7 linked regions of the Xenopus tropicalis genome follow. The protein of the gene in region 2 binds, or shares a complex with, the protein of the main gene of each other region. Links are inferred from orthologs where the notes say so. Each region holds a gene or a part of one and is shown on either strand. Other genes may lie near its edges. The genes, in order: med25, ccnc, cdk8, med24, med7, med4 and med16.

Evidence for each region.
Region 1: ccnc (region 2) and med25 share a complex: the UniProt entries of both Homo sapiens proteins name them as parts of the mediator complex. The link is inferred for Xenopus tropicalis from reciprocal best matches to the Homo sapiens genes CCNC and MED25.
Region 3: the proteins of ccnc (region 2) and cdk8 are in contact, whole or in part, in a crystal structure (PDB 5CEI), measured with the Homo sapiens proteins. The link is inferred for Xenopus tropicalis from reciprocal best matches to the Homo sapiens genes CCNC and CDK8. Residues at the interface, in NP_005181.2 of Homo sapiens: Met1, Ala2, Gly3, Asn4, Ser8, Ser9, His10, Gln13, Phe72, Tyr76, Lys79, Ser80, Ile81, Asp82, Leu85, Leu93, Lys96, Val97, Glu98, Glu99, Phe100, Gly101, Val102, Tyr130, His134, Leu136, Glu137, Glu139, Phe140, Tyr141; in NP_001251.1 of Homo sapiens: Met1, Asp2, Tyr3, Asp4, Phe5, Lys6, Leu9, Arg13, Gly58, Ile59, Ser60, Met61, Cys64, Arg65, Ile67, Ala68, Leu69, Arg71, Glu72, Leu73, Val84, Leu86, Ser87, His88, Arg91, Lys92, Val93, Asn145, Trp146, Val147.
Region 4: ccnc (region 2) and med24 share a complex: the UniProt entries of both Homo sapiens proteins name them as parts of the mediator complex. The link is inferred for Xenopus tropicalis from reciprocal best matches to the Homo sapiens genes CCNC and MED24.
Region 5: ccnc (region 2) and med7 share a complex: the UniProt entries of both Homo sapiens proteins name them as parts of the mediator complex. The link is inferred for Xenopus tropicalis from reciprocal best matches to the Homo sapiens genes CCNC and MED7.
Region 6: ccnc (region 2) and med4 share a complex: the UniProt entries of both Homo sapiens proteins name them as parts of the mediator complex. The link is inferred for Xenopus tropicalis from reciprocal best matches to the Homo sapiens genes CCNC and MED4.
Region 7: ccnc (region 2) and med16 share a complex: the UniProt entries of both Homo sapiens proteins name them as parts of the mediator complex. The link is inferred for Xenopus tropicalis from reciprocal best matches to the Homo sapiens genes CCNC and MED16.

The regions. Positions count from the first base shown.
Region 1 is NC_030683.2:117,444,694-117,447,491, forward strand, and holds part of med25 (mediator of RNA polymerase II transcription subunit 25), read right to left. Parts: intron 2,726-2,798; coding exon 2,642-2,725; intron 1,787-2,641; coding exon 1,610-1,786; intron 1-1,609. UniProt on the Homo sapiens protein: Component of the Mediator complex, a coactivator involved in the regulated transcription of nearly all RNA polymerase II-dependent genes.
Region 2 is NC_030681.2:82,038,208-82,041,707, forward strand, and holds part of ccnc (cyclin-C), read left to right. Parts: intron 1-2,480; coding exon 2,481-2,516; intron 2,517-3,433; coding exon 3,434-3,500. UniProt on the Homo sapiens protein: Component of the Mediator complex, a coactivator involved in regulated gene transcription of nearly all RNA polymerase II-dependent genes.
Region 3 is NC_030678.2:155,762,677-155,766,176, reverse strand, and holds part of cdk8 (cyclin-dependent kinase 8), read left to right. Parts: intron 1-3,211; coding exon 3,212-3,370; intron 3,371-3,500.
Region 4 is NC_030678.2:112,526,224-112,529,723, reverse strand, and holds part of med24 (mediator of RNA polymerase II transcription subunit 24), read left to right. Parts: intron 1-469; coding exon 470-507; intron 508-658; coding exon 659-741; intron 742-975; coding exon 976-1,157; intron 1,158-1,242; coding exon 1,243-1,342; intron 1,343-2,339; coding exon 2,340-2,515; intron 2,516-2,628; coding exon 2,629-2,893; intron 2,894-2,975; coding exon 2,976-3,157; intron 3,158-3,336; coding exon 3,337-3,430; intron 3,431-3,500. UniProt on the Homo sapiens protein: Component of the Mediator complex, a coactivator involved in the regulated transcription of nearly all RNA polymerase II-dependent genes.
Region 5 is NC_030679.2:14,184,034-14,187,358, reverse strand, and holds med7 (mediator of RNA polymerase II transcription subunit 7), read right to left. Parts: upstream 1,869-3,325; 5' UTR 1,838-1,868; coding exon 1,148-1,837; 3' UTR 501-1,147; downstream 1-500. UniProt on the Homo sapiens protein: Component of the Mediator complex, a coactivator involved in the regulated transcription of nearly all RNA polymerase II-dependent genes.
Region 6 is NC_030678.2:134,878,375-134,882,444, reverse strand, and holds the start of med4 (mediator of RNA polymerase II transcription subunit 4), read left to right. Parts: upstream 1-1,270; 5' UTR 1,271-1,271; coding exon 1,272-1,342; intron 1,343-1,412; exon of another isoform or gene 1,413-1,446; coding exon of another isoform or gene 1,447-1,562; intron 1,563-4,070. UniProt on the Homo sapiens protein: Component of the Mediator complex, a coactivator involved in the regulated transcription of nearly all RNA polymerase II-dependent genes.
Region 7 is NC_030677.2:100,796,234-100,799,733, reverse strand, and holds part of med16 (mediator of RNA polymerase II transcription subunit 16), read right to left. Parts: coding exon 3,393-3,500; intron 2,633-3,392; coding exon 2,527-2,632; intron 2,394-2,526; coding exon 2,238-2,393; intron 2,146-2,237; coding exon 1,937-2,145; intron 1,380-1,936; coding exon 1,173-1,379; intron 696-1,172; coding exon 485-695; intron 176-484; coding exon 42-175; intron 1-41. UniProt on the Homo sapiens protein: Component of the Mediator complex, a coactivator involved in the regulated transcription of nearly all RNA polymerase II-dependent genes.

The sequences.
Region 1 (2,798 bases), on a different chromosome or scaffold from region 2:
TTTTACAGACAAGAAAGAAAAAGCACTAAGTTTGGCCAGGCACAGTAACCCATAGCAACCAATATGATGTTTGCCTTTAACAGGTAACCAGTAAATTCTGCCCGCTGATTGGTTGCTATAGGTTACTGCTCATGGGCAAACGTAGCACCTTTTGTAACATAACCCCCATTGCCACTATTGTGAGGAAACAGCTGTGGAACATGTGGCATTTACTCATGGGGGATTCTCTCCCTCTCCCTGGATGATGCATTTTTATATATATTTTGGAAACCTGGCATATCTATATGCAATATGAATTGACTGAACTGCAACTAACCTCATAATTTCATAGCATAGAAAACTGACGGAGTACATATCTTTATGCACTACGTACTTACTGAACTGTAACAAACTACACAGTGGATAAATTGTGCCTCATTAACGGGAACTTCATTAACAAGGACACAACACAGGTGGGAATCACTATTTATTATTAATATTATTATTATAATAATAATAATAATAAATAGTGATTCCCGCCTATTTTTATAAATTCAGTGGTGGTGTTGTCTCAAGTTGTCTCTTCCGGACCAAAAATGTGTTAAAGAGCCCCACACAACACAGAAATCCCTAAAATACCGGTCACTTTAATCTGGTCCTTCAAACAGTATGAATAAATACCATTTTATTTGCTGAAATCCAGCTGCAAAACAGTTCTTCTCTTTCTACATTTTTAATTGATGAATTATATTTACTTTTCAAAAAGCTTAAGTTGTGTTTGGGTGGAGTTCCCCTTTAAGAGATAGCCAGTACATTTTGGAAGGCAGATATGGGATTACTAAGGGGCACATTTACTAATCCACGAATCCGAATCTTGAATGGGAAAAAATCACATTGGAAACGAAAATTTCAGAAGATCGCAAATATCACGAAAATGCTTACGAAAAAATCGTATTAGTCACGATAACATCGTATTGGCGATCCGAAAGTCACGAAATTTTCGTACCGAACAATTGCAAACAGCGGTAAAACCTTTCCCTATTTTTTCGTGCGCCGTACAAAAAAGTCGTGCGGACGCCCGAAAAAATCCCGAAAACACGCTCGGAGCATTCGTGCTTTTGTAAATGTGCCCCTAAGTGTTGTATCTAGGTAGAAGAATAAAACTGGCTCATATAATATAATATATATTTATTTTTATTTCTTCCTACCATATAATATCAACATTAGGAGGGGCCTGTCACTCAGGAGTAGGGGGCATGGTTTTAGCCTTAGGATGAGGTTCCAGGAGCTACACATAAAGATTCAGTACGGTATCCTTAATATCCTAAGCAGATCAGCCATTTGAATTTTCAGCCTGTCACACTGTGGCTCAACAGTGCCTGTTCTTGGGAATGTAGTAGTTTCACTCACCCCCATAGCCCAACATCAACAATGCTGGACATTCTATGATTAGTCTTCTCTATATAGCAGTGGAATTTAAAAGGAGCAACTTAAATCAGTCACTTCCCCAGCTAAGCTTACAATTTACATTTCCACACCATTCTGTCCAATTGCCAGTTATGGTAAATGCTTTACTATCTGGAAGAGCTATAGGGGGAAAATATTCCCATCTGGTTTCCTGGATACTTACAGGCTGCTGGCTCAGGAGGAGGTTGCGTAGCTGTGGGTTGGCACCAGGGTTTTGTGGTCGGAGCATCGCTCCTGGCTGTGGGTTCTGAGGCTGGCCAGGTGCTTGAACGGTGGTTTGTGTGGCTTGTGGTGGTGCCTGAGAGGCTGCTTGCTGTGGTTGCTGTACTCTGATGTGTAACTGGAAGAAAGCAGCATAGTCATCCTTGTGTTATTGTCAAGCAATCATCACTAATATAAATGATCACTCATTTAGTCCCATTCCCCCCACCCCCCTCAACAAGATTTGAACATCAGCTCATAGCCGGAGCGGAGTCTGACGCTACTGCTCTAAAGTGTTCTTCCACCCATGCACGGCAACAGTAACGTTGTGTTATACTACAACTCTCAGCAGCGCATAGACATGTGATGGCTCAGGCACCATCATGGAACATGTAGTCCTTTAGGGCTGCAGACTGACCATCTGTTTATCAGAGAAAACGTATCTGGTTCTCCTCCAGATGTTAAAAGGATTTTCTACTCAGAAACTTTATTATATTTTCAGAAAGGAAAAAAAAAAAGGTTACTCCCCCCTTGACATGAGTTCATCGAAGTTGGGTTTATGGATAAAATGTGTAGTATAAAAAAAAAAAAACACTATCTGAACTTCCAGAAATATAAAATAAGGAGACCATTATAGTCCCCACCCCTTGTGCTCACAGCGAAATTCAACCCCTCCCTTATCTTGTTCCATTGTGAAGTGATGGATTCTGGTACTTGAAGTCCCCCCCCGCTTTGGTGGGTAGTGCACAGATTATATTTATTTCTGAAAGTTCAGACATTATTTAAGCATTTTCCTACATAAGGCCAACACGAATGAGCTCAGGTCAAAAAGGAGGGTATAGTTTCCCTTTAAACAATTTTTAAAATGGATGAATATTTAAGAAAATAAAATATTCTGTGAGCTATTTGGTATTTGGCTGAATCCAGGCATTTTTATCTGCTGCATCCATAGAAAGTAAAATAACAGATTATCTCAAGAAAAAGAAAAACTCACCAAATTCTGTGTTCTCTGTTGCTCATCCATCATAGTGACTTGGCTAATGGAGGGCATGCCCGGGGCTACCTGCTGGCCTTGCATCTGGAGAAATGAGCAGATTGTATCATTCTCTCTTCTACAACCATGTTATCCCCATATATAAGAAGTAACACCA
Region 2 (3,500 bases):
CAGTTGCTTTGAGCCTTCCAATAATGCCAGCAGTGAGTTGGCAGGGACCTTCCTCTATACTTGCCCCCAGTAATCCAATATGACGGTGATTTAGAGCTTCTATTCACCACCAAGAGCCACTAAATTAAAAATAAGACAAGATATGATGTACACTGGACTTGCAAATGTGTGAATCGTTTTGAAATTTCCATATATGCGTGCATACATATGAACTAAAATGTGATCTGCTTTTCGTGCTAGTACTAAAACTAGATCATGAGAACCTAATTAAACATATGAGTGAAAAATAATGCTTGCTCTTTAATTGAGGAGAATAATTCAAAGTTAATTATTTGTGTGGTAAGATTGTGAACCTTTGTTTTCAGTAACTGCTGTACCCACTTGGGCAGCAATAACACACACAACACTCCAAATTAATCAAATAATGTACATTTTTAAACATACTACAGGTATAGGACCCATTATCCAGAATGCTCGGGACCAAGGGTATTCCAGATAAGGGGTCTTTCCGTGATTTGGGTCTCAATACCTTAAGTCTACTAAAAAAAACAATAAAACATTCATTAAACCCAATAGGATTAATTTGCATCCAATAAGGATTAACTATATCAAATACAATCTTAAAAATCTGAATTATTTGATTAAAATGGAGTCTATGGGAGACGGGCTTTCCGTGATTTGGAGCTGTCTGGATAATGGGTTTCCCATACCTGTACTAACATTTCTTATTCATTTGGGTTTGAGAGAACACTTTGGAGTTATTTCTACACAAACATTAATACATGCCCAGTTATATTTTTGTCTGTAATGTATCTTTGTATCTGTTACTGAAATCATCAAAATGATTTGGTCTGAATAAGAAAATGTATGTATGATAACTTTGTATTTCCAAGCCTTTTCAGAATGCTTTTTGTAGCTGCTTGTGAAATGTTTTAGATGTACAGGCATGCTTTTCCATAATGTGTTACAGTTTTGAAATAGCTTTGCCAGTAGAGCACTCCATAGCTTTTAACACTTTTAAATCCTATTATAAAATTTAGATTGCAATAATGGTTTGTGCATAAGGAATACATAATGAGGTGGAATAGTTAGCTTTTTGCTAGGATTATTTTACTAGAGGCTTTTCACAAGTATGAGCTTTTGGGGGACATTAAAGGATTCTTGCAGTTTGTAATGTGTTGCCACATTGTCCATCCCTGATACCCCATTCCTTACATAAATTATTCGATTAACTAAATAGTTGTGGAAAGTAATGGCTGCGAGCCAAATGGACAAGCTGCTTTTTCTACCTACTGTCTCATTCAAATGCACCTAATAGATGGTATTTCCTGCCCTTTCTAGCTTTGCTTTGCCCCAGAACCTTTTTGTATAACCTTAATGGGTCAGCCATGACCGTTTGTGTATTCTGCCTTTATCCATTATAATATTGATAGAATTAACCGTGGGATTGACTTTTTATGGACTGCCAGTTACATATCATGTCTTCATGAATATATTATACTAGCCTGGTTTGTAATGAAATACATTTTTCTAATTTGCAATTTTACTTGTTGCCTGTTATTTATCTAAATGTCACTATGCATTGTGTAAACCCCAATTCTAGGGGCAGATATAAAACTTCTGGTTTATGTTTTATCAACAGTATGCAGCAGCTGCTTTGTATTCAGTTGAATGGCAAGCTGTGTTTGTGACACTCTTGTGCCATATGAGGTGGGATTGCTCAGAAATATGAAAATCAATTTGTACATGGTAGCCACTTGCCAAGACATGTTTCTGGCAGCACCTTTCCCATTAAAGTTAATGAGATGCAAAAGCAGATTTGAATGCAGATCTTTCTGAGGACAGCAGAAATCAAATTCCCTCCAATGACAGAATTTAAAGGAACAGTAACACCAAAAAATGAAAGTGTATAAAAGTAATAACAATATAATGTACTGTTGCCCTGCATTGCTACAACTGGTGTGTTTGCCTCAGAAAGACTACTATAGTTTGTATAAGTTAGCTGCTGTGTAGCCATGGGGGCAGCCATTCAAAGGAGAAAAGGCACAGGTTACTTAGCAGATAACAGATAAATCCCCATTATATGGGGCTTATCTACTAGTTATCTGCTATGTAACCTGTGCCTTTTCTCCTTTTTTCCAGCTTGAATGGGTGCCCCCATGGCTACACAGCAGCTTATTCATATTGTAGCTTTTCTGTAGCAAAAACACCAGTTTCTTTGCAGAGCAACAGCACATTATATTTTAATTACTTTAAAACACTTTAATTTTTTGATGTTACTGTTCCTTTAAGACAATCTTTTGTCTTTCAGCCTACTTGAACTGTAAAGATATAGCAAGCAGCATCTCAGTAGGGTCACATCTGACTGCAAGTCACCCTAACCTCAGGATCTGTTTATGCACAGCTCGTGGATATCTACCTGGTTAGGGGCATTATTTTGTATTCATTGATTAATATCTGAATGATTTTGTTTTTTGCAGATATTGGAATGTGAATTCTACCTATTAGAATTAATGGTGAGTAAAGTGGTTTAATTGTCCATAAAAATATAGGTCTGCTTTCTTGCTCCTCTGTTTTGGTTTTATTCTGAAAGTATAGTTTAGGCAAGTAAAACACTAAGGGGCACATTTACTAACCCACGAACTGGCCAAATGCGTCCGATTGCGTTTTTTTCGTAATGATCGGTATTTTGCGATTTTTTTCGGAACATTTTCGCGACTTTTTCTTTACCAATACGATTTGTGCGAAAAAACGCGAGTTTTTCGTAGACATTCCGAAAGTTGCGCAAAATCTTGCGATTTTTCGTAGCGTTAAAACTTGCGCGAAAAGTCGCAATTTTTTCGTAGTGTTAAAACTTGCGCGAAATATCGCGCCTTTTAAGTTTTAACGCTACGGAAAAGGCGCAACTTTTCGCGCAAGTTTTACCGCTACGAAAAAATCGCAAGATTTTGCGCAACTTTCGGAATGGCTACGAAAAACTCGCGTTTTTTCGCGCAAATCGTATTGGTAAGGAAAAAGTCGTGATAATTTCCGTAAAGTCGCCGAAAAAATCGCAAAAAATACGAAAAAGTCGCAAAATGTTCGTTTTCCAATTGGAATTTTTCCAATTCGAATTTGTGTCTTAGTAAATCAGCCCCTAATACTTCTGTTTTTTTGCATGATATAGTGTGTGGGTTGTTATTTTTAAAAAAAGAAAAGGCAGTGTCTGTTTCTTGATTTACGTTACACTTTAAAAAAAAAAATAAAAAATATTTTTTAATACAGTAAAGACTGTTAAGTCTTTCAGTGCACAGATGGAACAGTCATTACTAGTCTTTACTTGTGCATCTGGAGCACACAATGGATTCAGGGAGGTGTTTGTGAATTGCATATGATTACATGAAGTAAACATTAACATTGCACATTGGGCTAATATTTTATCCCTTGTTTACAGGATTGTTGCTTGATAGTATATCATCCCTATAGACCCTTGCTTCAGTACGTGCAGGACATGGGACAGG
Region 3 (3,500 bases), on a different chromosome or scaffold from region 2:
CCCCAGATACGCCAGTAAATTGACTGCAGAAATGTAAAATGAGCATATTAAGCCCAAACATGCCAGTAAGATCAAAGCAGAAATGGACAGTGGTCCTTTTGTTAACCCCAGACGTGCCAGAAAGACCACGCCAGACAATGGATGAGCATGTTAACACCAGATATCCTTCCAGTTTATCTGAGAGTGTAACTTGAATAATGAGCCAGACCATGAGTATCCAAATGCAGACTTAAATATCCGTACATGTACAGGACCTGTTATCCAGGATGGCCGGGACCTGAGGTTTTCCAGATAAAGGGGTATTTCTGTAATTTGGATCTCCATATCTTAAGTCTACTAAAAATTATTTAAACATTAAATAAACCCAAAAGGATTGTTTTGTCACCAGTAAGGATTGATTATATCTTAGTTGGGATCAAGTTAGTGCTGGGCGGTATACCGGTAAAAACCGATCACCGTTTTTTTTTTTGAAACCAATATGAATTTTCTACATACCCCCATACCGGTGTGCTGAATACTTCCGGGTGCGCACGTGATGTCAGCGCGCACGTGATGTCAGCGCGCACGTGATGTCAGCGCGCACGTGATGTCAGCGCGCACGTGACGTCAGCGCGCACACTCTACAAAAGCGCCATCGCTAGAACGCATTCAGAGTCGGATACCAATGTGAGCTGTTGGGGGGTGCCTGGCCAGTAATTATATTTTATGTGAAGGGGATGGGTGGGGTGGGTGGGTTATACTTATGTGAAGGGGATGGGGTTGTGTTTGGGGGGGTGGGATGGGGTGGGGTGGGGGGTTATATTTATGTGAAGGGGATGCGGGGGTGTTTGGGGTGGGGGTGGGTGGGTGGGTTATACTTATGTGAAGGGGATGGGGTTGTGTTTGGGGGGGTGGGATGGGGTGGGGGGTTATATTTATGTGAAGGGGATGGGGGGGTGTTTGGGGTGGGGGTGGGGGGGTTATACTTATGTGAAGGGGATGGGGTTGTGTTTGGGGGGGGTGGGGGGTTATATTTATGTGAAGGGGATGGGGGGGTGTTTGGGGTGGGGTGGGGGGTGTGTGTGCGGATGGGGGGGTGTTTGGGGTGGGGGGGTGCGTGCGGATGGGGGGGTGTTTGGGGTGGGGGGGTGCGTGCGGATGGGGGGGTGGGGGGGCTGCGTGCGGATGGGGGGGTGTTTGGGGTGGTCACCTAATCATGCATGGGGGAAAAAAAATACCGTCAAATACCGTGATACCGATATAATTTTGAAAAATACTGTGATATAAATTTTTGGTCATACCGCCCAGCACTAGATCAAGTACAGGTACTGTTTTATTATTACAGAGAAAAGGGAATAATTTAACCATGAAATAAACCCAATATGATTGTTCTGCCCCCAATAAGGGGTAATTATATCTTAGTTGGGATCATGTACAGGTACTGTTTTATTATTACAGAGAAAAGGGAATCATTTAACCATGAAATAAACCCAATATGATTGTTCTGCCCCCAATAAGGGGTAATTATATCTTAGTTGGGATCATGTACAAGGTACTGTTTTATTATTACAGAAGAAAGGAAATCATTCTTAAAAATGTGAATTTTAATTAAAATGGAGTCTATGGGAGATGGCCTTCCTGTAATTTGGAGCTTTTTGGATTAAGGGTTTCCAGATAACAGATCCTGTACCTTTTATATAACATTGCTTGTCCAGCCATTAGGAGCACAGGGTTGAGAATACATTGATTTTTTTCCCCCTCTAAAGCCTCACAGAATGACTGGATTCAGAGCAATTAATGGCCTGCACCGCTAGCCCTGTGACTAATATGAGCCAATTAAAAAAAACCACACCTCACAACTTCCCTCGGGTTGTACCTGGGGGGGCGGGTATACATGGTTTAGTTACGTACCTAATCAATAGATTACTTTTACACATGGTAAGGGAAACAATTTCTTCACAAGGGATCAATTCCAGACAATAATATTCCCTGTAGCGGACAGTTGAGGTGTCTGTAATGAACCCATTTAATCACTCTGGGAACAATAACTGCACAGGTAATTAATCTCTGAGAAATCCTTCCTCCACATCTGCAGTAGATGTTCTACACACATCTAATTACTTTAAAGTACCCTGTAGGGGTAGGTAATGAATGGCACCATCAGCGGTGTAGCTATAGAGAAAGCAGGCTCCGTTTTGGTTTTTGATGGTGCAGTCAATGACTGGGTCCCCTACAGAATTACTCCCTGTATCTGGCTAAAGGAGTCTTTGCATGGAGGTGCCACCCCAGTGAGCTTGGATTATCTGGAGGTTTCCTATGAACACACACATAACATGCAATAGCACAGGAGTTAGGGAATATTGCTGCGCAATACTAGGGCCAATTGTACCCCAAACCTTGGGAGGGATGGCCTCTTTTTAGCACACACTAAAATGGTTGTTACAAGGAGTTATACTAACCCTTTAATGCATACATAGGGAGCCAGCCCTTTATGTTAACCTTTTGCATTGTATAATTGTCTGTGCTACCCAATATCTATATACAAATAGCACAATAGTTCTAAATATAGTTGTACTTGAATATAGTGTTTGTTCTTTTTCTGTTTGCAAGTACCGACTCTTTTGTTCTCCGCAAGTTTGTTATGCGGCTGTTTCAGTCTGCTAAAAATGTTTAATGAATGTTTATTGGAAAGTTGCTCTTATTTACACTATGCACAAATAAAAACAATTTTTGGGTGGACTTTTTTTTATAATATATGAGATATATATATATATATATATATATATATATATATATATATATATATATATATATATATATATATATATATATATATATATATATATATATATATATATAGCGAACCCAGGGTGGCACTCTGCTTCAGCTCTTAGCTCGGGTGCAAGGTAAATGATTTAAATATCCAAAAAAGACCAGCAACACCGAGTTATGTTCCAAAAACAATCAATTGTGTATTAAAAACACATGAACAGAACATGGCTGTTCATGCGTTTTTAATACACAATTGATTGTTTTTGGAACATAACTCTGTGTTGCTGGTCTTTTTTGGATATATATATATATATATATATATATATATATGGGCTGGGGCCACCAGTGACATTACAAAATATAATATTTTAGGCCAATTCTTGATATTTTCAAAACTATTTTTTCCAGTTTTCCTTTGGATGTTCCTTTAAACCTTGTTTATCTTTTTTAATCCTTAAAGAAAAACCAACAGCAGCAGCAAGGCAATAACCATACTAATGGAACCGGTCACCCAGGAAACCAAGATAACAGTCACGCACAAGGGCCACCTTTAAAGAAAGTGAGAGTTGTACCCCCTACCACTACCTCAGGTGGGCTCATAATGACCTCAGACTATCAGGTAACATGCCTTTGTGTCTCACTTCTCTCTATCCCTCATACCCCTTTACATAGGATTGCACAAACAGAACCACTGTGGGACTGTATAGCCACTTTACTGCAGCACCTATTTGCATGGGGGCCGCTGTGCT
Region 4 (3,500 bases), on a different chromosome or scaffold from region 2:
AGATCTAATATACAGTTGCTTTGAATTTGAGAGCAGATAAGCACTACTAGCTCCATGAGCTAGCTCCCTGTAAATTAAACTTATTTTTAACGTGTTGGTGGAGGATGATCTGCAGCCCGGGTGCTCCGGCAGGGGTCGGGTCTGGGCCGGCAGGGCCCATCTGTTTTTTTCCCAGTGCCCCGCCAGCCCAGTCCGACCCTGGAGTTTGGCTGTGTTAGGCTTGCCAGGATTTGCAGGGGAACCCAAGAACCCCTGCTCTATGGACTAACACAGAACAGCAGAATCAATTTTTGTTCTCACAGTGTCTGTAACATACACCAAAAAAGAAAATCCATACAGCAGTTAAGAAGGGAGACACACTTTAATGGTGCACTTGCCTCTTGGGCTTTCTACCTGCTGGATACTGGTCAGTGCCCAATAATACATACTAGCTGTGCCATCTAATCATTTCTTGCTTTTTGTCTTCCAGACTCAATGAATTCACGAGACATATTGGAGTAGAGAGCTGTAAGTGTCTTTCTTTTTCCCTGGTTGCAATCAATAACACCCGTATCCATTAATCTTCCCTTCCATTAACCTTCCAACTCCATTTCCTACACATTGGCTACTTCACTAACTGTAAGTGAATTTGGCCACTGAACTGATTCTGTCTCCTCAGCAAAGGCGGCCAATGTCCGAGCCCTGCTTTTTGATATCTCCTTCCTGATGCTTTGTCATGTGGCACAGACCTATGGCTCAGAGGTAAGGCAGTTTCTGAGTATGTGGCTCCTCAGTTTTTGCTAATTTTGCCCCAGTTGTAGTAAGAAGAGCTCTAGTCACCACCACCATCATCAATGGGTAGCAAGATTATTTACATTAACCCTTGTGCCAGGCATTTGAATGCAGTCAGATCTGAAATGTATTGTGGACCATGGAAGCACATACTGGGATATGGGAAAGATCAACTAAGTCTTATTCATTTACTTTTTTCTGCAGATGATCCTATCTGAGGGATGTCCAAGTGGTGAGATGCCTTTCTTTGAAAGCTGGATGCAAACGTGTATGCCAGGGGAAGGGAGGGTGCTAAATCCAGACCACCCATGCTTTAGACATCCAGATATTGCAAAGGTGGAAGCCCTGGTGGCTCTGCTCAACACATCCACGGAAATGAAGCTGGCGTATGTTATATATAGTTACACAGACTACATTCCCATACATTGTACATGTATTGGTTCTAACTTACATCCTTATTCTGTTACGCAGGCAGACAAAGTGGCATGAAGTGTGCCTGAGTATCCCTGCGGCCATATTGGAAATTCATAATGCCTGGGAGAATGGCGTCTTGTCCTTTGAAGCCATTCAGGTATGAACTGGTGTACATTATATAGAGATATCAGGGATCCCTGCCTCTCTCTACCAAAAGTATAGACAGAAGGGACTTCTTATTCTTTCTTCCTACTACTTCACTGATTTTATGGACCCCTCCCTCACTCATACTCCTAATGTACATATGCCATAGAGCCCTTCCTTTCTTCTGCCATTAATATGCAGATAACAGGGACTTTTTCCACCCTCCTACTCCTAACTTTCAGGCATCAAGGACCCTTACCTCTATGCTACTGCTAATAAACAGACATAAAGGACTTCTACCTACCCCTTCTCCTAATATACAGACATTGAAGATCCCTGCTTCTAATATGCACACTTCAGGGACCCTGTTTACGTGAATGCCATGGCATTTGAATCTTCCTTACTCTTTTTTTCCTAATTCACAGATATCGGAATAAATCTTCTTACCGATATCTAATCCAGCCCTCTTCAGCCTTTCCCCCACTCTGTTCTAACACATGCACACACAGCTAGCAATATTCTTCATTTCCCAGGGTGCCACAGCCATGTGACCTGTGCTTTGATAAACTTCAATCACACTTTGAAAGTTGGCCTGATATCACCCCCCTCTCCGAAGCTGATCAGCAGCACAAAGGGAAGGGAGCAAGATAGCAGCTCCCAGTAGTTATAAGAATAGCACTCAATAGTAAGAAATCCAAGTTCAACTTGGGACTCCTCCAGTTACATGGGAGTAGAAGAAACAATAGGTTACCTGAAGGCAGTTTTAATGTGTAGCGTTGGCTCCTTCTGAAAGCCCAGGCAGAATGCGCAGAGATGGCGTCTACGCATCAGTGTTACAGCTAAAAATACATTTGTTGGTTCAGGAATAAAATGTTGAATGGCAGAGTGAATTATTTGCTATGTAAACAGTATAATTTAGACGTAAAGGGATTCTATTATGATTTTTATGGGGTACTTTTTAAGTGGTACGCCCCACTTCAAGTGTAATGGAGTTACTTTGTGTGCTACAGAAAATCACAGACAACATCAAAGGGAAGGTGTGCAGCCTGGCTGTATGTGCAGTTGCCTGGTTGGTGGCTCATGTCAGAATGCTGGGACTAGACGAGCGAGACAAGTCTCTGCAGATGATCCGCCAGTTAGGATCACCCATGTTTGGGGACAATACTTTGCAGTTCTACAACGAGCGGTAAGTACCCCGAGCTTATGTGCAGTCTTTTTAGAAAGGTGTAAAATATTTTCTTCCATGTGTAATTACAAGTATTTACATTCTGTACTATTGTTTTTCTTCTCTCCTCTTAGAGTCATTATCATGAGCTCTATCCTGGACAATATGTGCGCTGAGGTTCTGCAGCAGACTGCCACTCAGATTAAATTCTCGGCTCCAGGAAGTGAGCCGGTGCCTTACATACATCGCTTGCCCCCTAAGAAGCCCATAAAGGAAGTTCTGAGGGGGGCATTTAGCTCCACCTTAGAAAAGGGATGGGTTGATAGCCGCACCCTACATGTATTTGATACATTGCTTCATATGGGGGGTGTCTACTGGTTCTGCAACAATCTTGTAAAGGTGAGTAAGGGGAGGATGCTGTTGTGAGCAGATGAGGATTCCACTAATTTGCCAAATATAAATACATGGTTTCTCTTCCTAGGAGCTGTTGAGGGAAACACGGTTGGAGTTTGCTTTAAGGGCGGTTGAGCTGCTCTATGCCATCTTCTGTTTGGACATGCAGCAGCTGACGCTCACCCTTCTAGGGCATGTACTGCCATCCCTGCTTACAGATTCTGCCAAATGGCACATGCTGATGGACCCTCCGGGCAGAGCACTGGCAAAGTGAGTGAGCTACACTGGGAAAAATGGTGCAGTAATACAGAAGTGATCTCTTGGATAGACATTGTCCCCTCCCACAGAGCAATGACCGTTCAGTGCCCATGTGGTGCCTGACATTGTGAACCTGTAGGTCACTTTTGTACATTGGAAACTGTATGCAGCTTTGTCCATTCCCTCAACAGGTTATCGGTGTGGTGTGCAATGACCTCCTATTCCACCCAAAACAAGGGCCAGCCATCTCCCCGGCAGAGGAAACGGCATAGAGAAGATATCGAGGTAAATGATTTTTGGATTACACAGATGGAAAATCTGTGTATATGCTATTGAACTGGAAGGAGGCATGTTT
Region 5 (3,325 bases), on a different chromosome or scaffold from region 2:
CTGCAACTGATGGGGATTCCTGTAATCTCACCAACCTCCTTAGGAAATAAGGCCTAGGTGCCCACAGCACCACCCTTCTGAAAATAACAACTGGCTGGGGCAGCCAACAAGTTTACCTTCCAAATATTTTGGCCAGCATCTGTAGACTGCAGGGTGGAGCTTACTTAAACATATCCATTCTACCAATCAGAATGAGGATGGAATGTTGTAAATGCACAGATCCTGGTACTCATGTTTTTGTTTCTGTATAGCAGCTCTTGTCCCTGCACCTTAGTGCTCACAGTGTGTTGTTATTTACAGTGCAGCATAGCATCCTCCTATCATGATAAAATGTATATTCATTGCTACCATTCATGAATTTGATCCCAACCTAAGCACAGTCATTTAACCCTTGCTTTGTCACAAAGGCTGACACAGGGGAGATAGAAAGCTTGCATGTAATGTGAATGCACACAGCATCCTTAATGGAGGTGGATAATTAATAGGAAAGATGCTAGAAGTGACAGAGGGTTAAAACTATAATGCAGTAATACAAATATTAAAGTAAATAAACATGATAAACTGTAAAGGCGAGCATTTCAAAATATGGACTTCTCCTATAACAGATAACAGCACCCATTTTGGGATTTTCATGCTCCAAACCAATCTGAGACTAAAATATTCCAATTCAGAGAGAAAAAGATACAAACAATTGTAATATTAACTTTTAAATAAACTTTGATATCTCAGAACATGTGAATAACTGTACAAACATAACTTGCAATGAGTAGATTCCATACATAGTATATCAGTTAGATAACATTCAAAAGTCTGACCCCAGTCCTTTGTCTGTTTAATCACAAATAAGCAGTTACCACCCAGGTGTTGCAGAACTACAACCTTCCATTCCTCATACACATGAACTGGCAGGGAAAACACTGAAAAATATTAGCCTTCTTGCATACTGCCTTTTCAAAAGCATGGCAGAAAAGCACAATAAACAGACATGTACATGAGCAATAGCTGTGACTGAGTTCCCTTGGGACAAACATTTTCCTTGCCAAGTCCCATGATGAATACAACCAACACATAGAGCCATGCTATTGCATTTCAATGAATCCTTGTGACTTCTAAAGTTCAAGAGTCCTGATTAGAACTGCTTATTGGACTAGGTCATTTCATCGATGATAACACACATAGCTGCATCCTTATCAATTGTGGTCTCTTTCAGAGAAGCTGCTGCTGCCTCCTGGGGCCCCGCATGATGGTCCGTACAGGGTTCCCGAACATCCATTGGTTCAGTTTTTACACTGACTGCGCCATCAGAAAGAGGGAGGTCATTGGGTAGCGATGCCAGACAGTTCTGGATCATCTCCACCACTCGCTCTAGATGTTTCTGGAACCTCTCTGCCGTTTCCAGCCGCTGACGTTTCTGCACCTCCATCATCACCCGCAGGGTCTCACGTGCCTGGTGGGGCCTGTACTCATTAATAAGGTGGTGCATGTGAACAAATAACAACTTTAGGTCCTCCAGTTTCTCCTCCCTTCGGATGCTGCCTGGGCTTCGGATCAGGATGTCCAACATATCCAGAAAGTTGACCAGGATGGACATAAGGAGCTTCCTCAGCTCCTTCTTATGGTCGAACTGCATGGGGTGGAGCCTCTCGATGCCCTGAGTTTCCAGAGGGCGGATAATAAGGTCATCACACTGAAACTGGTTGCCAAACATCATGTAGCTGTCCTTTATGGGGAGGGGAGGCTTGGGGGCCAGGCCCTTGCGGATGTTTTCATCTGTGTACTCCTTAATGTACTGCATGGGAGGTATAGGCAAAGCGCTGACCTGCTGAGGCTCCCCCATTATGAAGTGAGTAGGAGAACCTGTGACACAGAAAGAAAAAGCCCATTCAGTTACATACAAATAACAATATAAATCCCTGTGTGTGCAGCACATATATATATATATATGCATTCCAATTGATGATGCGCACTCCTGTATTTTTTTAGTTCATTTATTGTTACATTATAAAGTTAAAAACATCAACGTTTCGGTCCAGGTCTAGGACCTTTATCAAGATGTTAAGCCATAAAAAGTCACACACATAATGAGTCTTTATATAATACAAAATGCCTAACCCCGCCCACATTGAGCATAGCCCCAACCCCATTTCACAACCCTTAAGCTGGCCATACACGTGGCGATCTGACGATGTTTCGTACGACCATCGGTCGCACGAAACATTGTCAGATCCGCCACACACCTTTCAAGGCTGAATCGGCAGGTAAGAAGGTAGAAACAATAGGATTTTTACCTCCTTCTGCCGATTCAGCTCTGAAGGGAGAATTTTGGTCAGGCGCCTTCTATGGCGCCCGATCAAAATTTTCAAACTGGTCCGATCGGCGAGTCGGCCGATATCAGCAGATTCCTGCGATATCGGTCGACTCGCCGACATGCCATACACGCACCGATTATCGTACGAAACGAGGTATCCTGTATAGCACATACTGACCTGCTCCTCAACTCCTCTCTCATTCCCTCCTCACACGCTCGCATTCAAGACTTTGCAAGGGCTGCCCCCCTTCTCTGGAATTCGCTCCCACAAACTGTCAGACTTTCTCCCAATCTCTCTGCCTTCAAGAGATCTCTAAAAACACACTTATTTAGAGAGGCTTACCCTAATCTAGTTTAGCAATACCCTGTGCCACACCTCTCACAACTCTGGCCATGCCCATTCCCACACCTTGTGTCTCAACCCTTTCTCCTTGTAGATTGTAAGCTCTTTTGGGCAGGGCTCTCTTCACCTCTTGTATTGGTTATTGATTGCTTTATATGTTACTCTGTATGTCCAATGTATGTAACCCACTTATTGTACAGCGCTGCGGAATATGTTGGCGCTTTATAAATAAATGTTAATGTAATAAAATACACAAATTGTGAATTAAAGAAAACATATCAGTACAATTAATAAACACTATTACAATTAATTAATTGTACTGATGTGTTTTCTTTAATTCACAATTTGGGGTTGGGGCTCTGCTCAATGTGGGCGGGGTTAGGCATTTTGTATTATATAAAGACTCATTATGTGTGTGACTTTTTATGGCTTAACATCTTGATAAAGGTCCTAGACCTGGTCCGAAACGTTGATGTTTTTAACTTTATAATGTAACAATAAATGAACTAAAAAAAATACAGGAGTGCGCATCATCAATTGTAATGAATACAAGCTACAACCAGGTGCAGCACCCTGCAATCAAGTATGGAGTAAGTGTGTTTAATGGGAGTGTGGACCGAAAGGTATTATATATATATATATATATATATATATATATGTATACTGCACACACA
Region 6 (4,070 bases), on a different chromosome or scaffold from region 2:
TTTGCTGTGAACAGACAACATGTGGTCAAAGGAGCTCTCCGTGCCAGTGAAAGAATCCATCCTTAAGCTGCGAAAACAGAAAAAACCCATCCGAGAAATTGTTACAATATTAGGAGTGGCAAAATCTACAGTTTGGTACATCCTGAGAAAGAACGCAACCATTGGTGAAAAAAAGACCTGGACAAAAAGACCTGGACGTCCACAGAAAACAACAGTGGTGGATGACCGTAGAATCATTTCCAGGGTGAAGAGAAACCCCTTCACAACATCCAACCAGGTGAACAACACTCTCCAGGGGGTAGGTGTATCGATATCCAAGTCTGCCATAAAGAGAAGACTGCATGAAAGTGAATACAGAGGGTGCACTGCAGGTGCATGCCTCTCCTAAGCCTCAAGAATAGAAAGGCTAGATTGGATTTTGCTAAAGAACATCTAAAAAAGCACAGTTCTGAAAAAACATTCTTTGGACAGATGAAACCAAGATCAAATTATACCAGAATGATGGCAATAAAAAAGTATGGAGAAGGCGTGGAACAGCTCATTATCCAAAGCATACCTCATCATATGTAAAACAAGGTGGAGGCAGTGTGATGGCTTGGGCGTGCACGTCTGTCGGTGGCACTGGGACACTAGTGTTTATTGATGATGTGAAACAGGACAGAAGCAGACAAATGAATTCTGAGGTGTTCAGAGACATTTTGGTGAAAAGGGTGAAATTGCCCTTTAAGCTGCCAGTCTCAGTTCCCCTAAGAGACAAATGTGTGAATTTGTATTCTCCTGAATCTCATGGAAGAAATGCTCACGTTTTGTTTACCAGTGCATTAAATAGTACTTTTGTTTGTTAAGGGGACCGCACTGTGCCATCCATGAAATGCTGGAAAACAAGAAATGTGAGTGTCCCAATATGTCCTGCCACCATGTCTAGACATGCTTTGGCCAAATGCTGTGATCATGGCCGTTTGTTTGGCTGAGGACCATGAGTAGGTTTGTGAATGGCACCAATGTGAATATGACTGAAAGCTCATCACCAGGTGAGGGGGGGGGGTTCTCCAGCCTCCACCCATAGGCCCCAGTTCAGTGAATTTGCCGCAGCCGACATCTACATCACTGCCCAACTGGCATTTGCTAGTTATGTGAGTAGGATCGCTAAGTTCCATTAAATTACTCTAGATGGCGCTGTGAAAAACGTCTGCGCTTTTCGACAGATACTTGTTTCTCTTGATTCCTTCCCGGAACTGCTCGTTAGCCCCGCCTCTCTTCCATCCGCAGACATGGCTGTTCCGGAGAAGAGCACGAAGGAAAGGCTGATGTCTTTCCTGGACGACTTGGAAGTGCTGTCTAGGTGAGGGCGTTATGCGACACGGGCATTTTATTTCTCGGGACTGCACCTAATACTTTGGAGCCAATATTGTTTCTTGCGTGGCTTTCCAGCAGCTGCAGAGCCAAATGCTTGGCACCTTACGAGCAATGAAGTTCGGAATTCCACTGTGCGGGATTCTTTGTTATAATAGCGCTGTGCGCTTACAGAGCGTTGCCCTATTATCTGGCCACCTAAAAGCCCTGTAAGTTGGGGTTTGTCCTTCCTGCTGTTCTTACTGCACAGTGGGCCAGAATAATATCTGTAAAGGGCCCCGGTTGATGTATAACGGTGGGTGGGGACAGGCCATCCCATGGGGAATAGCAGTGGCGCACAGTGATACATATGGATGTGGTTTGGCGCATGAATACTTGTCTGATCTTCCTTCAGGTTTCTTTTAGGGTGGCACCACCCCTGGTTTCCGACTGTTTTATTAGAGCCCCTTGCTCCTCAAGGTGCTGAGGAATTGCCTTCTTCAAACCCCCCTTTCCTTTAGTCAAATGGCAAAGTAAGACCTGTTGCTATTGCTTCAGCGTTATATCAGTCATTGTGGGAAACATGGGATACACTGTAATGCACCACAAGGAAAAATGACACTTTATAAAAAATACATTGACTCATGTTGCAATTCTGTCATTGTATGGTAAGCTACACAGCAGTTTGGTGTACACTAGCTCCACTGCGCTACTCTGTGTTTTTGGAAAAGCAGACAGGGCTGTATTAGAAGAGTTCATTGATGTGGTACAGGAAGGGGGAGTGTGGCTCTTCAGGGCAACTACATTTTATACTTGGCTATTGAACTCTTTTAAAGGAGAAGTAAAAGTATATTCACCGGGGGTGCCAAAATTGTAGGCACCCTGATGTTATTATAATGTATGTATGTATATCTTTATTTACATTAATACAAACGGGGTTATTAAGATAATAACAGAAATTCAAAGGATAACAATATATACAAATAAATACAAGATACAGTTGCAATAAGTTAAGAGCCAAAGACACAAAAGTATGGAGGTCCCTGCCCCGTAGAGCTTACTATCTATATAGGAGGGTATTTTTAACTATAAGTGCTGTAGGTTACAGTGGGTGACAATATAAGTGCTAGTTCCCAGATCAGGTGCTGGGTGAGTGCTCCAAGAGGTAGTCTTTAAATTTATCTTTGAAAAGACTGGGGGAGGATTCTCTCCCGAGGAAATCAGGGAGGGCATTCCAAATGTAAGGAGCAGCAAGGCAGAAAGGTTTAAGGCAGGAAACTGCAGTAGTAGTGGGGGGTGCAACAAAGCGGTTGCTCTGCGAGCAATGAAGGAGTCGGCCAGGAACGTAGGGAGACACAAGAGAAGAGATGTAGTAAGGAGCAGAGGAATTGAGGGTTAAGAGAAGGAGTTTGTAAGATATTCTTTGTTTAATAGGAAGCCACGATAAGGACTTTAGCAGGGGAAGGGCCTGAACTCTCCTGGATGAGAGGAGGAGAATTCTGGCAGCAGTATTTAAAGGAAAAAGAAAGTCAAAGTCACCAAAATGTTAGGCACTCCCAAGTGACTTTGACCACCTACCTTTTACCCCGGGCTGGTGCCCCTGTGAGGAGGGAACAGCACCAGCCCGGGGTAGCTGCCGGCGCTTCCTTCTTCCTGATTCGCTGCGCGCGCATGCGCAGTAGAGTGAAAAGCTGAACTTAAACATTAAAGTCGGCTTTTCACTCTACTGCGCATGCGCCCACCGCTGGCATTTCAGCAACGGAAGCAGGAAGAAGGAAGCGATCCGCTCCAGGTACCCCGGGCTGGTGCTGTTTTCTTCTAACAGGGGCACCAGCCCGGGGTACGAGGTAAGCAGTTAAAGTCACTTGGGGGTGCCTTACATTTTGGCACCCCCAAGTGATTTTGCCTTTCGTTTTCCTTTAATATAGACCAGACCCAACCTTTCTTACTCGTGAGCCACAGTCAAATGTAAAAAGACTTGGAGAGCAACACAATTAAAAAAAATAACTACCTGCTTTGGGGGCACTGAGAGCAACATCCAAGAGGTTGGTGAGCAACATGTTGCCCCTGAGCCACTGGTTGGGGATCACTGATATAGACTATAGGGGGAAAGATGGGAGTTAGGGAGGTGGTTAGTAGCAGGTTACAGTAGTCAAGTCGGGATAGGATGAGAGCATGCATGAGCAGCTTAGCTGTTGCAGTAGTAATTGCTTACCTGAGGCCTGGGGTTCTTCTGTAGGAGCTTATTTGTTGCCACCTTATTTTGCTTCATACTTCTCTTGAGCCCTGGTTTGGGTGCGCATACATGGCAGAGTGAAAAGCTCAGTGAAACAACAAAACAGCTTGTCACTGTACTGTGCATGTGCACTGGCCAGGGGCCAACAAGAAGGACGAAGAAATGGAAGATGATGATGTGGTGCTCCTACAGATATCAGACCTCAGGCCAGAACAGTTTTTCACACACAGGAGCACCAGCCCATGGTATCAGGCAAGTGATTATCATCACTGGGTGCTGCTTAACATTTGGCACCCCCAGTGATTTTTAACTTTCATTCTTCTTTAAGCTATCATTTGACACAGGAAACCACAATTTTGGAAGTCAAATATTTTGTCTGGCTGTTAGATCCTCTTATATTTGGGGTCTTTTTATGACTGGAAACTGGCAGGTTTACCCCTGGTTTCTTCCCCTATTTTGGACATGAAGTCATTTAGTTGGGTTATGTAAAAAATGTGCATAA
Region 7 (3,500 bases), on a different chromosome or scaffold from region 2:
TATCCAGCCAATGCAGTCAACTAAAAATCAAAAAATTTTACCTGATTTGGTAGGCTGGCCAGCAGATAAAGTACAAAATCACCAAGCCACTGTATAAGCTGCTGAAGTGACTGAAGGGTTGGCATGTCCAGCACAAACTCTTCTGTCTTCAAGTTAATCATAACCTTGTCTATATCTGTGTAGAGAGAGAGAATGTACAAAAGTATACATTATATACTTGGTGGGTCAGATCGGGCTGATGTTTGAGCCCTAAACCAATAACCAGATTATAACGGAGCCTATGGAAATCAGTTGGAAAATGACCAATATATGATCAATATTTAAATGTGGTCATTGTATGAATGAAATTTTTAAACCTCTGGTCGGTTGTCACTACCATACATGGGCTAATTAGCAATCAACATTGCCTGAAGAGCGGAGACAGCAGCTTTTCTCTGCCTGTGTATGATTATTTCATCAAAGGATTTCTATTCCTGCCACTCACCAGTATCGGTGAACTTGTTGCAGATCTCAGTAAGCCGATCTCCAGGACTCTTGTCAGGAGTATTGAGAACATGAGGACGAAGTAGAGATTTTAAGGTACAACTGATAGAGATGAGGAAGAGCTTTGCATGATAATCACAGACACGAGTTACAGTGGTTTGAGACAGCTTACATAGAGACGCCTTCATGGCCAGAATCCGAGTGGAAAGAACCTAACACGACAAGATCAGAGATGTTACATATTGGTACTCTAGTAAATGGCAATGTCTAATTTAAGCCCCATCTTAATAAAGAAAGAGAACCATCTACTGCAGATTATTGTGTTTCGACTACTCCCACTATAAAAGCAGCAGCTACCTCCTCCTCACTTCCTGATATTCTAATAATTTGAGCTGTAGGCCTATATACTAACAGAACATTACAGAGGCAGTCATATTGTGTATGGTTCCTTGTATAATTATTCCAATACTGTGTGTAGTCATGGCATGTATGTCCACTTTAAAAAGCAAGAGAGTAGATGAAACTAATATTAAAGCTAGGTAGTTTCAGCAGAGGGGTTTTTGATCAATTAAATAGTATTTATGTAAGTGCATGTTACTAATATAACATCTCTACACATAATATCTCCATATCTGTGGTCTATAAACACTATGATCTATAAGGCCACTGCACCTCTGCATGGCATTTACCTGTTGAAGTGCCGCATTCTGCCTAGTGTATTCCTCGTTTAACTTTTCCACTAAATTATGTACCATGCCAGGCTGAACATGGAGCAGTATATCCCACCAGTCATATCCAGTCACCATGCAGTATTCCAACAAGAAAAGCAGGTGACGTAGGGATGTTGACATATCCAAGGAATGCCCCATAGAAGGAGAGACTCGTAGCATACTTAGCTGTGGGGAAAGATCAAAGGTCACACAAATACAACAGCACCATAAAGAAATTCACTGTGATTATATGGGCCAGGATTTTTTGTAATATCAGTTTAATCATATTCTTTGATGCCAGTGTCTTTGTTTTAGTGTAGCAAAAGGCTGTGATGTAACTAGAAGTTACTGGGCACCATAAAATAATAAACATAAATTAGACTCCACTCAACATTGCAAATTTATAAAAACTATTTCAGTGTCCTAGAAAGCTATCAATATCAACTGGGTCCTCCAGCAGTCACTGGTGTTATGTTTTAAATACATCTATGGCTGAGGTGCAAACTGATCTTATCATTTTGTATTATTCATAAAGGCACCGTTTTTGAATTTTAAATATATTTACGATTATGCTTATGCTACAGATAACTGTAGATCAATTTAACCTCTAACACCAAACTCTACTACCTGACCCATCCTTACTGTTTTTATACCATCAAAATTGTTATTTGGGGCTTTTTTTTAAAACAGAACACTGTCATTCCGACCTGCCTAATATTAGCAGTAAAATCTTTAACGCTGACCTTGCCCTGTGTATCTAGCCCAACCAAAGCAAGCGAGGTCCACGACATCTGCAAAGCTTTAAAATGAATGCAAGGGGTAGGCGAACGCTGCCGTTTTAAGCTGGGTTCCTCAGAAGGCCGCAGAGATGATCCATACAAAACTGCCATTGGCTGCAGGGAAAGTCTATGAACAATCTGAACATTTCCATCATGGAATGCCAATGCTAGACCTGTAAAAACAGTGATTGATTAAGTGTCTTAAATAAAAGAAGTGTATCCAATTTCTTTGCAGATCAAAATAAACTAGTGGGTAATAACTTACCAAGCCCAGGGTAAAACTTGGTTTCACTTGCAACCTTGATGTCAGTATTTGTGAGAGAAATTGGTAGCTTGGGCAGAGCCACAGCAGAAACACGCTCTAACTCATTGGTGGCTGAGAGGATACGCCACTTCAGGATCATGGGCTGCTTGTCACTTACTGCAAGAGTGAAAGGTGTTTTAGGCTTGAGAGGAATGTGGAGAAATTATGCAATGATACATTTTGGAGTAAGTGAAGCATCTAACTGAGGATAAAATGTTTAGGAGTAACAGGAAGATATTAAAATACTTACCTGCAGGGGATAGCTGCTGGAATATATTATTAAGTGGAAGACCCTCTTTCCGAAGAGACCAGCACTCAGCTATGCTGGAACACTGATTGGAAGCACAGAGTAAAACCTAAATCAGATGGACAAAACACTGTAAGTTCTGTGTGTCCAAAACATTTATTTATCCTTATCCTTTAGTCCTTAATGCTGATGCCTTTAAACGACAAGCAAAGGTTTAATCACCAGGGATGCCAATTTGACACCCCTCAGTGATTATAATTGCTTGCCTCAGACACTGGGCTGGTGCTCCTTTTCACTGAAAAATGCACCAGTCTAGGGAAGTAGTCTAGTAGCACTGCTCTGCTATCTTCTTTGCTGTCTTTACTTCAGCCCTGGGCTGTGCACATGCGCTACTGCTCTACAGTTCATGTTCACAGCCCATACCAGCTCTTGTGTATTCTCCTTTAAGCTGTTCCCTTCAAATTCAAATACATGAAGATTTTTTTTATTATAGTTACCCTATATTCCTATAGTAAGAACTTAAACCACAATGAATCAGCACGGGTGGGCCCCTTAGGTCATTACTAAGTTAATGATAAACAGAAACATTGGCGAAGCAGTCACCCTGCTATAGTTTCAGGGCAACAACTAAGCATGTACTCCCAAATCTCACCCTCAAATTAGCCTCCCTACTATGTACTGAAGCCCTCTGGTTTAAGGGAACTAAAGGTCCCCATACACGGTAAGATCCGCTCGCTTGGCGAAATCACCAAGCGAGTGGATCTTCCCCCGATATCCCCACCTACGGGTGGGCAATTTCAGGGAGCTTGAAGTTAAAAAAAAAAAATAATCCGAACGTTTACCCACCCCGTAACAACTTTTCTTCTCACCTGTTCAGACATATCCCGCGCAAGGAATTTAAGGTGCGTCACAGCTGGGAACTTGTCCTTGCGTGCAGGGTCAGTTGTACAGCGCATAAAGAGAGAAGGAAGTATCTC